Lonchura striata: one gene and its partner. The protein of the gene in region 1 binds, or shares a complex with, the protein of each later gene. Links are inferred from orthologs where the notes say so. Each region holds a gene or a part of one and is shown on either strand. Other genes may lie near its edges.

Region 1 (7,316 bases):
TCTCCTTCTTCATGCCCTCCATGTTTCACTGTAGTGTTGGCATTTTTCTATTGGTTTAGGCTGGGGACACACTGTTCAACGTAGGGGACAGATATTGGCACATTATTGTAAATATAGCACAGGTAGTTTCTGGTATATAATGTTTGTAACATCCCACTGAGGGCAGAGCCCCACACGCTGCCCTGCAGGACAGACCTGCGGCAGGGCAGCAGAACATGTTAGAGATGAGCAAGAATAAACAACCTTGAAACCAGCACAGACGAATTATGACTTCTTCTTTGGCAATGGGGCAGTAAGACAGAGACTTTCTACAATCTCAGAATCATCAATACCTCAGATTCTGACAAAGGTCTGTGGTCTGAGCCTGTGAGCAGAGTAATTTATTATCCCTCCTCCATGTCTGCTGCCTCACAGGAGACAAGAGCATCATCACAGGAGTACATCTGGCCCTTTTGTGTTCAAGTCTCGGAGCAAAATTTGGAAACCTGGAAAACAAACAGAACTGAACAGAATAAAATATTTACTATTGTCTCTGCACAAAGTTCTGAATTTTATACAGGTTTTCCCAGAACAATTCAGATCAATGAAATTACTTTTTGCAAAGTGGAGACGCAGTGTTCTTTGGCAAAAAAATAGCTGCCTGGTCAATCAGTTGAAATTCTAGCTTGGACAAAAACATTTTCCCGTTCAAGGCTGAATTATATGCTGCTGTCTGTAGGGTTAAAGTTCCTCTGCCAGGGTTAAAATTTCCGAAGCCTTTTTTGTCAGTATTTGCATGAAGAACTGCTGGAGCACCATCAACGAGAATTTTTCATGGGGCAGGGGAGTGCTTCCACATTAGCACTTCACAACAGTGAGGCTGACCAGGAGAACTGATCCTAGGATGGCTGCATGGAAACCCATAACTGCAGCACCAGTGTTTTTCCACCCCTCTTTGCTCCCCTCTCAGCAGCTACCATGAATAACAAGCAGGAAAAACAGAGGCAGGTTTTGAAGAGAAATGAGGGCAGTGGTGGGGGGGACGGGGGATGGGCCTGGCTTATGCAAGAGTGGGTATAAAAGGGGGAGCTGACTACCCCTCCAAAATTGGAGAGTGGGGCAAAAGGAGAGAACACACCTCACCGCTGAAAACCAGGTTTGAGAGCTCTGTGTTTCTTTGTACCTTTACTGTGGCTGTTGCAGGGAGAGGTTCTTTAGAAAGCGTGTGTGGGCCACAGGCTTGTTTTGGATAGGGGATGTTTGTAGAACAGCCTTGCTTTCACTCTCTTGGGTTCTTTGTTGCCAGAAAGCTTTTTGCCCAAATTTGGCCCAGTGCAAGTTCTCTGGCACAGCTCTCTTTAAGGGGCAAAATCCTTGGACACCAGAGCTGAAGGGTAGGATAGAGAGAGATAGATAGAGTCTGCTTTTTAAAGTCAAAGCTCTATCTTTAAGCACACTCTCATTCCTAAAACCATGGCAACCCAATAAAAAAACCTGACAAGAGTCCACATTTAGTAATTGGAATAATGCTCATGCACTCCTTCTTAAAAATGTCTCAGAAATAAAATTAAAGACTAACTGTTTTTAAGTACTACTAGGATAAAACATGTTGCAGGTGTGGCAAGATATGTTCTTGGAAATCTGAAACCTTCTCCTTTAGAAGAAAGTGTTAAAAGATAAAGGACAAAGATCTAAGAAGTGTGCTGGTGTGTGATGCATCTTAATAGCGGAATATTAATTGAATGAGCACAAGTGACTGGAGAATGAGGGAGGGAACTGTATCTGAGCTTTGTAGTGGTGTGTGAATATAAGGTGAAATTGAAGGCTCTTCCTCATTACTGAGGCCAGCCAAATTCCCAGTGGCTGAGGAAGGAGGAGGCAAGAGGAGGACTGTGGTGAAAACAGGACATTGAACATTACCTGGTGAAACTTCTTTTTCTAGATAAAGCTAGGTATTTTTATTTGATTACTTTATTGATGTGGAGGCAAGGGTGGGGGGCAAAAGATAGCCTTCTGTGATCCTCAAAGACACTGACCAGTTTTTATCGACAGAAAATCATAGAACTGAGGGCACAAACACCAAAAGACACCCAAGGATCAACTTGGTTGAAAACCCTGAGAATATTCAACTTTCTTTATGAGGCAGAGCCCCCAGACCCACATACTAGATTTGTTGTTCAGGTGACTCCTGCTCCTCCTTTTCTTCAGAGCAGCATCCCCTGCAGCCAGGGCTGCCTGTTTAGGGCTGGTACTTACAGCACAAGGAGACCCACAGCTGCAGCATGGCTTGGTCATGACCTTCAGGGGAGCTGGAAGCAGGAGATACCCAAACAACAGCATTGTCTGAATGCTGCAGAATAAAGGCATAATTATCTAAGGAAAAAAACTACAGTGGGTGAGGGGTTTGTGATTTCCCCTTTCAGTGTTTATTGTCCACAGCAAACATGTAAGTCTTACAGCTGTATTATCTGTTATTAACATCACTTGTAGCTTATTAGCCAAAGCCAGTAATTAATTTAATAAGGATACTTTTCAGAGTTTTGCAGAATACAAGGTGCCTTTCCATGAAACAACTTTCATTTGTGTGTCCTCAATTCAGAGAGTACTGGGATGGGTTTTCTTTTCACCTTTGTTCAAACCTCATCTAGGGGGATGGAGCAGACCAGCTCTAGCTCACAGGCTCGGCATGGTCTGGCCATTCATGTGCACTGCACTGCCTGCCTAGTGCCTCAGATGGACCCATATGGGTGGTGGTGCAGAAGAAACAGATTTGCATGTCCCACCACAGCTCCACTGGCCTCTAAGGGACCAGCTGGCTCCCCAGGTCTGCCTGGGGAAAGGAGTCTCCAGGGTAGAGGGGAAAGAAGGGGGACCTGAAAGGGGGACTTGATCTCTTAGCATTTAGCTGAGCAATATGCATTTTTCATTTTTCATCCTTCTCCCTTTGCCTGTATTCTCTGTTCAGCTAGAAGCATTTTAAGTCTGGGGGTGGTACAAATGCTCAGGGATTGTTCTGTGGGCAGATGCTTCCTCAACTGAGATGCTCAGGCAGCAAGAGGACAAAACACCTTGAAAGTTTCAAGCTGTTTGTTTAAGCCTTCAGTGCATGAGAGCATGGTATACAAGCCTGGGCTCAGAACCACTTTTGGACCTCTTTGTAGTGAAGGTAATCAGATTGTTTAAATGAAAAGCAGGACTGCAGAGACAGAAATTTCTCATCTCTTTGCTGTCAGGCATCTGGCACACAGCCCTTGGGCTGGCAGGACTCAGCTGCCCCTGTCTCCACCTTCATTTCCACCAGCTCCAGCTGCCCAGGCATGCTGAAAACATCCCCCTCTCTCAGCTCTCTCCTTGAACCCAACATGTAGCTGGAGTACAAAACATGCCTGACTGGCCCTCTAAAATCAAAGCACAGATGACAAATCAACCCTACTCCTATTAGAGCCATGGGACTAAGAATAAAGGGTACTGAACAAGACCCAGTCTAACAAATTGCATTTGATTCACTGTTTACATGCTTAAATAGGAAGAAGGGGTACACCAAAATTGAAAGATTGTTTCAAAAGCAGCTCAAAGATCTGCAAATCCCAACCCCTTTTCCCAAACAAGACTTGAGAAGCTGACACTGGGAGGGATGAAGTCTTTGTGATCCAGCTCTGGCAATCTCACCTACCTGGCTTTCATCTTCTCCATTTCAACACATCTTGTTCAAGAGGAGAAAGAACAAAGCCTTGACATTCTGAACAGTTCAAGAGGGAAAGAAGGGGTAAAAATTAAGAGCTTAATCACTTTATTCTGCAGTAGCATACACATCTCACACACTGGTGGGTCCCCAGGCTGCAAGGGAGAGATTAAAGGCAATTTATCCGTGAAGCCAAAAAATCTGATCCAACTGTACAACAAATATAAGTACAAAGGAATCTGCATTCCTTTCAGTCTGTCACAAAATGATGTCTTTCCTATAATCAGTTATTCTACGCAGTAAAACCGCCGGTGTCTGCCTTGGTGAATGTGTAACTGCAGGCTACACAGGTGTGCTGGGGCTGGCTAAAGGTTGTGTATCCATCCCTGGAACTTTCTGCGAAGCCACTGTTGAGCCGGGCTCAGGTCTCATTGGCCTGAGGTAACTTCTGTCAGCCCCAGGCTGTGATGCAAAGCGGTTTTGCGCAATGCCGCAGCCACGCAGGAAGGGCAGAATTGCACCGCGTCCCGCCACCCCGGGACAGGTGTCGTGGGGAGCTCGCCTGAGGGACAGCGGCATCGGAGGGGCAACAAAGGGGTGACACCCCAGCACAGAGGCGAGTACGCGCTCTTCGTGCATTTGCTTTGAGTGCTGCTTTTCCATGCTTTTCCAAAGGGCTTGGGGCTCTCTCCTTTAGCCAAATAAACCACGCTGACTTTCCACAGATGGCGCTTAGGGTAAGTGCTTGGCAGTGAGAACTGCTCCTCTTGCTTCTGGACATGGAACAAATGCTGAACAGAGCTGGGGGCTCTGGCAGCCAGAGAGAAGTGACCGCTGGGTGCCAGCGGTGCCTAATGGCACAGCCTGCCTGGGTGGCATAGGGTCACCCTCCCTGCTGTGCAGAAAAGATTAAGAAATGCCTCAAAATAATTTTGTGATGGAGAAAACAGTGTAGGAAAGGAATTCCTTCTAATTTGTGGCTTTTTGGTTCATTTTCCTGAGCATGCCAATGTGAAAAATGCATTGAGTAGTTTAGAAATCCACTAGCACAGAAGCTGGGCTAACTGTGAAAGTGAAGTTAGGAAGGCACCTCCTAAGATAATTTTTTTAACCAGTCACAAGAAATGAATATGCTCTGTCATGCATGTCACATGCTACCAGTGTAGTTGGGGAGGTGAAGAGGGGACGGGAGCAGAGCGGACAGCAGCACGACTGTGCTGCCCATACAGTAATTTAGAGGATGAAGTGGGAGTTAATGGGGAAGAACAATCCTTGAGTGAAGACACAAGGACAGGGATCTACAGCAGCTCCTCCCCTGCATGCCTCTGGGGAGCAAATAGTTTCAGGCTTGACCCAAGAGCATACAGTAGGAAGACACTTAGACATCCTAAGGGACCATTACAGCACCATAAATTCCATTTGCAAAACCAGTTACAGCCTGGGAATGCAGATGTCCATGTTAGCAGTCAGATTACCTAGCAAGGTATGTCTAGTTACCAAGCATCTGCACATCTCAGTTTTTGTATGTGCAACAGAGTGGTGGCACTGCAAACTGGGCTATTATTAGGCATTAAATACTTGGGGACCCCTCAGGGGAAAGAATATGGTTATACATTGTAAATTAGGCTGGGAAGGGGCCAGGTCTTGAATAGCTGGATTTATACACAAGTACTTCCACCCTGCGTAAAGTGTTGATGAGACAGACATTGCTCTGTGTGCTCTCAAAAGGCTCAGACTACCAGAAGTACAATACCTGACAGACTGGAGTGACTCAAAAAGCCTTGGAGGAAGAAAGCACAGATCAGGGCTTGGGTACTGGCAAGGCTGATAGCATTTTGCCCATCCAATGAGCTCTGCAGAACTTGAAATGAGTGAAAGAGAGTGAACAAAGCTACAAAAAACAAGGAATTACTAGTAGAATAAAAATACAGCTCTGAATAACAGTATTTTGGCTGATGATATATTTTACAGATGCATAATTTTCAACACATTTCAGTTTGGATTTCAAATACACAGATAAAAAGTATATACTAGAAGTCCAAGAAAGGTACAGCAGAGCTATTAGTTATCAAAAAGCTTGATATTATAAAAGAGAGAATTCTAAAAATATAAAATTTGTCAACAGGTATAATGTGTCTGCGTGTGTGTGTGTGTGTGTCCATGACATTCTAGTCCCAATTTCCATTATATCCTTTGTGCTAAAACACCAGAGACATCCACACACAGTAAAATTCTCTGCTTCTTGTCAGGAAAAACAAGAGCTGCAAGTGGTCTTTTACCTCAGGAGAAGACTGCTTGCACAGCTGAGTAAAACTCAGCCTACTCCTTCTAACTCTGTAGTCAGACACAGAAGATGAAATGAAAAATGATTTCAGTGTGAGCACATTTGTATAAGGGAGCCTGGAGTGTTTGCCTAAGAGCTAGAATGAATGTTTGCACTGGGCTATGAAAACATAACATGCTCTGCTAGTGCCAAGTATTTTGCTGACTAGACATACAAAGCAGGACCGTACTGTGTTTGGACCTTAAGAGAACTGGTTTCCAAACCTACTTCCTGCATATAAGCAGGCACATTGCTTAGCCTATGTGTCAGCAAGGGTCAGTGCAGCAGTTTGCAGAGATGGATGGTTCTGACCAGGTCCCAGGAAAAAATGTTTTTGCATTTGTTGCAAAACAAATGTTTTGCAGAAGTAGCATGATCTAGTTTGCAGGCATAACCAGGATCCACAGCCATTCCCATGAAAAATCCTTAGGGTACTGCAGTGGGTAATGGAGTCAGGTCTGTGCTTGCCATTTCCCACCTGTTACCATTGAAACTGGTGTCTGTCTCATCCTGGGCTTTTTAGGGGCAGAGTCAGACCAAACAGCACTAAATACTGAAATTCTCACTTTTGTAACTCCAACACAGCACTAGTACCTCCCACTGTGATTAAGAGAAACTCTACTTGAAACACCTGACCAGACTCCTTTCCTTCGAATTTTTTCTTTCAGCAGACACAGTGGAGGCAATTTCCCAACATGAATCTGGTAGCAGATCTTCTCTACTTGTCGGCTTGCCTTACCATGGTGACTTGTGACCGGGTCTACGTCCACCCTTTCACTTTGTTTTGTTTCAATGAGAGTGACTGTGACAAGCTGGAAAAATTGGTTCAGGAGGGAAAGACTATTGTCCCTGTGTCCATTGAGTCCCAAACCACACCCGAATATGAAGCTGGCATGAACGAGAACAAGTTGGAAGCCCCAAGCCTCAGCACCTGGGGGAAGGAGGAACGGAGCTACCTGAGTGACTTGGTGTATGTCCTGGGCATGAGGTTTTACAGCGTGCTGCAGAAAGCTCAGAGGGGCCAAAACGTGCTCCTGTCCCCAACCAGCCTCTACAGCTCCTTGGTCTCATTCTACCTGGGGGCCTCAAACCAGACAGCGCTTGATTTGCAGGGTTTGCTGGGATTTGTTCCCCCCTCTGGCAATCCTGACTGCACTTCCACGGCAGTCGGAAGCAATTTCCTTTCCAGCCTGAGGACGATCGAGAGGCTTGTGAAGAGTGGGGACGAGGAGCTGCTCTTTTCCAACACACTGAGCTTGTTCTCTGCCCCTGGCGTACCCCTCTTCCAGCTGTTCATGGAGCACTTGCTCCCCAGCGCTGATGCATTCTATG
Region 2 (7,186 bases), on another chromosome or scaffold:
AAGATGTGGGATCCAGCAGAAAATGGGTCTGGCTGACGGTGCCGCTGCGGGTGTCAACAGTGACCACAGGGAAGCCCATCTGCAGCGTCCAGCGGTCCATGATGTTGCTGATAGTGTCAGGCAGTTGGACGTTGTTGTTCTTCACCGCCTGCGGGATGGCAGCGCCACTGGTCACCAGGGCCAGGGGCACGGCCAGCGTGGGGCTCGGCCAGTGCTGCAACCCTCCCCGGCACGTGGGACCCTGTCCCACCAGGCAGCCCCCCAGAGCCCGGGCCGGGGATGCTGCAGGAGCACCAGCCCGCTCCTACCTCTTGCAGATGGACCCAGAGGTCAGTGTAGATGGTGTTGCTGTAGGAGAAGGTGTGGAGGTAGGACTGTGGGAGAGCATCAGGAGAGATGGGTGAGCAAGGACAAGTCTGGGGTGTGGGACCCCCCTAGAGCAGCCAGGAAGGCCTCCACCATGGGATCCCACCCCGCACTGGGCTCGCCGCCCCCCAGTACCAGCAGCACCTCACCTGCAGCCCCTTCTTGAAGACCTCCTCGCTAAGGAAGCTTGAGAGCATGCGCAGCACCGATGCTCCCTGCAGGGACAGCAGGTGAGAGAAGCCAGGGACGGCCCAGAGTCCATCCCCACCCCAGGGACCCCCGTGCACACCTTGCTGTAGGAGATGCTGTCGAAGACTTCGCTGATCTGGGCCGGGGTGTTGATCTCCTCCTCGCGGAAGGAGAGCGGGTGGGAGCTGGCCAGGGCGTCCGTTGCCATCACGGCATGCAGCTCGTTCAGCACCATCAGGTCTTTCTGCAGAGGGGGCACCGGCACCCGCCTCAGCGCCGCGCGTAGCGCCTGGCACCGGGGCAGCCCCGGGGTGCCTGCCGCCCCACCTGCCCCCGCGCCCATCGTCCCGGGCACTCACAATGTTCCAGGAGGGCTCAGCAGAGTTGGCACCCAGGTACTCCACGTACGAGGCGAAGCCCTCGTTCAGCCACAGGTCGTTCCACCACCGCAGCGTCACTAAATTCCCAAACCACTGCAGAGGGCACAGCACTCCCTCAGCCGCCAGCCATCAGCCAGGGGAGCGGGCGGGGGCGCAGCAGGTACCTGGTGTGCCAGCTCGTGGGCGATGACGGTCACCACCCGCTCCTTGTTGCCAATGGAGGAGTACACAGCATCGAAGAGCAGCGAGTTCTCCCGGTAGGTCACCAGCCCCCAGTTCTCCATCGCGCCCGCATTGAAATCGGGGAGGCCGACCTGGTCTGGGGGCGGAGGGGTCCTGTCAGTGCCCCGCTGGCAGCACGCTGGACCATCTTCCCCCCTGCGGTGGGTACCTCAGCCCAGTGCCCCAGGTGCCCCACAGCACCCACCAGACTTGGGGAGCGGGTAGGACGTGTTGTAATGATCCTCAAAGAAGTTGAGGATGGGACCAGTGACATTGAGTGCGTAGTCGCCCTGGCCCTCGCTGATGGCTTTGGGGCGGCCCCAAATGCGGATCTGGAGAGGAGGATGCAGGACTCATCAGTGGCCCAGGCTCAGCCACCCAGGTGGGCAGGGGGTGCACCCCACCTCATCCTACCAGTGTGTTGTTTGATATTCTCTCCACGTGGCTGAACCGGCTGACAATGAAGGCCAGCAGGTACGTGGACATCCGGGGAGTGGTGTCAAACTCAGTGACGTTCCAGGTCACTCCATCAATCACCTGCTCCCTGGTGTCTGTGGAGATCAGAGAATCACCCCACAGCTCTGCCAGGTCCCCAGCCCCCCAGCGGGGCTCCCCTGCCCCACTCACTTTTGGCAGGCATGTTGGAAATGGCCTCATAGCCAGACGGGTAGATCAGCGTCACTGTGAAGTTGGCTTTCATGGCCGGCTCGTCGAAGCAGGGGAAAGCTTTGCGTGCGTCAGCCGCCTGCATCTGCGTGGTGGCCACCACCTGCCTGTGAGCCAGCCCCATCAGTCCTGGGGGTCCCTGTGGAGGCCGCACCCCCCAGTGCCCTTTCTCCCACCCCCACCAGGGCAGCATGAGGATGCAAGGGCGGCACAGAGGCTCCACACACCCATCCCACAGTCCTGGTGGGAGAGGAGCCCCAAAGCCAGCTCATGCCCTCCACTGCCCCGTGCCAGCCCCGTGCCCCCATTCCCCTTCCCAGCACCACACTGGGCCAGCGCTGTGGCTTCCACCCCACCCCTGCCCTCCACCTACTTGCTGCCTGACTCGTCCGTGTACTCGCTGCGGTAGAAGCCAGCCAGGTCATCGGCCAGCTCCCCGGTGAAGCTGCTGGACAGCCGGTACCGCTGGCCCTGCTGCAGAGGAGCGCCCAGCTGCACCACCAGGTACTCGGTGGGAGTCTCCAGCCAGGTGCGGGAGATGGCAGGGGCATTGCCACCACCCTCTGCCTGCAAGGTGGCATGGAAGGAGCCCTGCATGGTGTAGTTCAGCTTCTTGCTGTGGATGAGGATGAGGTCGGTGGCCTTCTCACACATGAAGACCACACTGCTGTTGCCCTTGAAGATGTACATGTTGTTGGCATCTGGCTTCAGGAAGGGCTGCAGGGATACCTCGTAGAACTCCGGCTTCAGCGTGGCTGGCAACCTCCACTGGTTCCAGGGATTGTTGGGTGCAGGGGTGGTGGTGCTGGTGCCCGGGCTGGCCGTGGTGTTGGTGCCCGGGCTGGCCGTGGTGCTGGTGCCCAGGCTGGCCGTGGTGCCAGTGCCCGGGCTGGCCGTGGTGCTGGTGCCCAGGCTGGCCGTGGTGCCAGTGCCCGGGCTGGCCGTGGTGCTGGTGCCCACATCTGATACCCCCTTGTTCTTTTCCTGGGCGTACACCACCGAGAGTGCAATGATGGTGGCCACAGCCCCCAGGCCCAGCACAATGGCCACGATGCCCACGGTCTTGCTGATGAAGAAGCCGCCTGCCATGGCGGGCAGCAGGAGCGGCACTGGCGGGGACGGCGCTGGTGCAAGCACGGCTTTTAGCCTCTCGCTCCCACGAGGTTTATTAGTCCAAGTTAATGGGTGAAGGATTAAATGGCCATGGGGTTCAGGGCGGCGACAGACCCTGGGATGAGCTTTCCTCCCGCCCGCCTCCCAGCCTGGCAGGAGCACCAAGGCCCGGCGCCGCTGCTGCAGGGGCAGAGCTGGCGGTGCGGGGTGGCACCATCGGGGAGCGTGCACGGGCTGCGGGCCTGGACCCCGGCGTCCTTCCCAGCGCTGGCCTGGCCCTGCAGGAGGGACAGAGCAGGTGGTCGCAGCCAGCAGCCACATCCACGCCGTGCTGCGGGGCCTGGCATGTGTCCCCAGCAGCCGAGCCCAGATGCAGACTCAGCGTCACCCCATCCACCCTCGAGTGACAGTGTCTGAGCCACTCTCAGAGGGTCCGGGCTGTCCCTGCGTGCGGGGGGCACAGCCCACAGGCTGCCCCACCCAGGCAAAGCGGAGCAGCATAGTGCAGCACAGGGGTCTAGGAACGGCACGGGAATGTGGGGGAGGACACTTGGGAGGAGCTCCCTCTGCTCACAGCCCTCTCAAAGTCCAGGGTCACAATTCTGGAGGCAGTGGGGTCAAACTCCGTCCTTGTGAGCCCAGCCCCAGTGGGCATAGGTGAGGTCCCCACCCAGGGTGGGGTGGGGGTGGGTAACACATCCTGTCACACACTGGGAAGAAATAGGAAGTCCCGTTCTCAGGATCTAATCGATCTCTCCATTGGGAGATATGGGAAGGTGCTGCCAGAAGCCACAGCTGGGGCAAAGGGCAAACCAGGATGAGTGAGTGGTGTCCTCAGGGAGCCCTTGCCCTGTCCCAGGCAGCACCCAGATGCACCTGCACAAATCCCTCTGGATGCTGCTGGTGTCCCTGGCACTCCCTGTCAGGCACAGCAATGCTCCAGGCCCAGAGGTCACTGCTGGCTCTCTCAGAACCATCCCCACGCTGGCCCTGGCCAAAGGCTTTGGGGACAGTCCCCCACGGGACCAAGGCCACGGGTGACTGGGAAGGTGCCCGGCACTCTGCACACCCCCTGTCCCGTGCCAGTGGGCCTGCTGGCCCTCCCCATAGCCCCGGGGGCACAGCACGCAGGGGGGGCTGGATGGAGGGGCTGGATGGAGGGGCTGGATGGGGTTAACGGGGAGCAGCAGACACAGCACCCAGCCTGCAGGACTGTCCCACCCCACACGACCCCTCCCTGGAGCCGGCCAGCAGCACACACATCTCCCACAGGGTTTGGTGTCGTCCCCGTGGGCACGGGGGCCCTTGGGGCTCTGGCCTCACGCACCCCACAGCCTGACACCCCCCAGCGCCCTCCACGCCGTCATGAACCCCCACAGACCCCCCAAACCCCGCACTGCATACGGGCCCCATAGCCCCCATGTATGTGAGCCGCACGGCTCGCCGCACACCCCGCAGCCCCCGCAGCCCCTTCCCCGCTCGGTCCAGCCCAAGGCTGGCCCTGCTTGGGCCGTGCAGCGCCCGCGGCAGCCGAGCTCCCCCTCACCTTCCTGCGCTCCGCGGGGCCAGCGGGGTCCGCCCGCGCTGCTGCCCCTTCCTGCGCCCCGCGGGCGGCCCTGCCCGGCTCCGGCCCGGCTGCTGCCCGGCTGCTGCCCGGCTCCGGCCCGGCTGCTGCCCGGCTCCTTCCCGTGCCCCTGCCCGGCTCCTTCCCGTGCCCCTGCCCGGCTCCTGCCCGGCTCCGGCCCGGCTCCGGCCCGGCTCCGGCCCGGCTGCTGCCCGGCTGCTGCCCGGCTCCTGCCCGGCTCCGGCCCGGCTCCGGCCCGGCTCCGGCCCGGCTCCGGCCCGGCTGCTGCCCGGCTCCTTCCCGTGCCCCTGCCCGGCTCCTGGCGGCCCTGCCCGGCTCCGGCCCGGCTCCTTCCCGGCTCCGGCCCGGCTGCTGCCCGGCTCCTGGCGGCCCTGCCCGGCTCCGGCCCGGCTGCTGCCCGGCTCCTGGCGGCCCTGCCCGGCTCCGGCCCGGCTGCTGCCCGGCTCCGGCCCGGCTGCTGCCCGGCTCCTTCCCGTGCCCCTGCCCGGCTCCTGCCCGGCTCCTGCCCGGCTGCTGCCCGGCTCCGGCCCGGCTCCGGCCCGGCTCCTGCCCGGCTCCTTCCCGTGCCCCTGCCCGGCTGCTGCCCGGCTGCTGCCCGGCTCCTGCCCGGCTCCGGCCCGGCTCCTGCCCGGCTCCTTCCCGTGCCCCTGCCCGGCTGCTGCCCGGCTCCTTCCCGTGCCCCTGCCCGGCTGCTGCCCGGCTCCTGCCTGGCTCCGGCCCGGCTGCTGCCCGGCTCCTGCCCGGCAGAGGGGCTCCCGGCAGAGGGAATCCCGGCAGGGGGGATCCTGGCAGAGGGGATCCCGGCAGAGGGGATCCTGGCAGAGGGGATCCCGGCCCCAGCCTCGCACGCCCCGCAGAGCGGCCGGGCCGGGGCGGCGGGGCCGGAGCCGGTAGCGGAGCCGCCACGGGCGGTGCACGGGGAGCACGAGTGGCCGGACACGGCCCCAGCGGCACGGGGCCTCGCCGCCCCCCTCACCGTGAGGTGAGCTGGAGCGGTCCCCTCCGACCGCCCCAGTCCTGCCAGACTCCGCGTCCCAGCCCCGGGACACAGCCCAGGCACGATGGCTCACCTGCACCCTTCGCCGGCACCTACAAGAGGAGGAGGAGGAGGAGGAGGAGGAGGAGGAGGAACAGGAGGAAGCGGAGGGAGAGGAGAGCCAGCGGAGAAGAGGACACAGCAGGTTGCCCAGCTCCTTGACCTCCAGGAGGGCTGATGTGGCTAGTGGCCAGCTGCGGAAGGGTTAAGCTGCAGGGAGGGGAAATTCCTTCTAGGCAGAGTCACGGTTTCCCTGCCAGGGGAAGTGGAGGCAGAACCTGGAGCACAGCTGGGGAGCAGAGGAAGGGCCTCTGGCCAGGCCCAGGGGCTGGTGGCCAGATGGAGCTTTGGTGGAGCCAGGGGCGTGGGGTACATGGCTGACAGAGCCCATCAGGGTCACTGTGATCCCCCAGGACAAGCCCTGCTCCTCCCCAACCTCAGAGGACCCCAGCCCCACAGCTCCCACACACCCACAGAGCGGTCAGAGCTCACAGAGCTGCTGCCCTGCAGCAGGGAGAGGGCAGGAACTGGCAAAGGGTGAACTGCCACTAAAGGCCCAAAGCTGGGGACATTGTCACAGCCATCGTGGCCATCACCATCCCCATGCCTGCTCTGAGAGCAGCGGGTGCAGCCAGGGACGCTGCCCTAAGGCCCCTGCCCTCCCCTGGGGCTCTGGGGCCCCCTTTCCCACCCCCTGGGCCTCCACCAGCCAAAAGCCCCCCAGGGCTGCAGCTGCCCCAGGAGAGCTGCACAGAGCCCCCGGCCCCCTCCCCTTCCAGCAGCACCCACAGCAGACACAGACACGGGTTCAAGGGCAGTTTATTGGGACACAGGGACCCACTCCAGCAGCCCCAGCCTGCCCCAGCCTGGCCTGGCCCTGCAAGCCCCCAGGTCACTCAGCTCCTGTCCCTCTTGCTGCCATTCCTGCCCCAGCATGTCCCACTCACTGTCCCCCGGGCACACAGCAGCTCCCATGAGGGATCCCCACTCAGCCGGGGCCCATCACAGAGAGCAGGACCAGGGCAGGGCACAGCCACGGCTGGGAGGGTGGAGCAGACAACCTGCAGCTCCTGACAGTGCCACTACAGGCACACTCTCACCTCTGGGAATCCCAAGAACCCCGGGAGAGGCAGGAGCCAGCCCTTCCCCACAGCAAGGAGAGGCTGTGTGTCCCCAGGGAGCGAGGGGAAGGAAGAGCACCCTCCTTGTTGGGGGACCAGAGAGCAGAGCTGAGCCCAGGTCCAGAGGGAGGGACTCCCCAGCTCGTTCTCTGAGCCCTGTCACCGCTCCCTGCCCTCGGCCACCATCGGCCCCTGTGTGGCACATGCAGAGCCCCGGGAGGAGCCCGGGACCCCCGCTCTGCTTGGCGGGCAGCCCCCAGCACGGGCTGCTCACATGAACTGCGACAGGTTGGGCACTTTGATGTTGATGTCCCCGATGTTGATGTTGCGGGGGATCTCGGGCAGGTTGATGTTCTTCACAGCCGACACGGCGCGGGAAGGAGCAGCTGAGAGGCCTCCCTGGGGACAGAGGGACCATGACCATGGGCCACAGCCCCTCCGCAGCTGCATCTTTGATAAACCTGGGCTCAGGAACCTTGACAAAAGAACCCCTTCCACAGGCAGCTCC

The links. Proteins that work in one complex are often made in the same cells at the same time.
Region 2: the proteins of AGT (region 1) and ANPEP are in contact, whole or in part, in a crystal structure (PDB 4FYS), measured with the Homo sapiens proteins. The link is inferred for Lonchura striata from reciprocal best matches to the Homo sapiens genes AGT and ANPEP. Residues at the interface, in NP_001369746.2 of Homo sapiens: Val27, Tyr28, Ile29, His30, Pro31, Phe32; in NP_001141.2 of Homo sapiens: Gln211, Gln213, Ala351, Gly352, Ala353, Met354, Glu355, Arg381, Val385, His388, Glu389, His392, Glu411, Glu418, Asn438, Arg442, Phe472, Tyr477, Ile864, Phe896, Ser897, Asn900, Gln903, Ala904, Arg907.

What each region holds. Positions count from the first base shown.
Region 1 is NC_134605.1:42,847,726-42,855,041, forward strand, and holds the start of AGT (angiotensinogen), read left to right. Parts: upstream 1-4,283; 5' UTR 4,284-4,386; coding exon 4,387-4,398; intron 4,399-6,652; coding exon 6,653-7,316. UniProt on the Homo sapiens protein: Essential component of the renin-angiotensin system (RAS), a potent regulator of blood pressure, body fluid and electrolyte homeostasis.
Region 2 is NC_134613.1:24,301,128-24,308,313, forward strand, and holds the start of ANPEP (aminopeptidase N), read right to left. Parts: upstream 3,093-7,186; 5' UTR 2,913-3,092; coding exon 2,197-2,912; intron 1,931-2,196; coding exon 1,785-1,930; intron 1,709-1,784; coding exon 1,572-1,708; intron 1,490-1,571; coding exon 1,363-1,489; intron 1,255-1,362; coding exon 1,100-1,254; intron 1,029-1,099; coding exon 915-1,028; intron 800-914; coding exon 656-799; intron 582-655; coding exon 516-581; intron 375-515; coding exon 309-374; intron 149-308; coding exon 1-148. Other genes in the region: AP3S2 (AP-3 complex subunit sigma-2), read right to left, coding at 6,949-7,077. UniProt on the Homo sapiens protein: Broad specificity aminopeptidase which plays a role in the final digestion of peptides generated from hydrolysis of proteins by gastric and pancreatic proteases.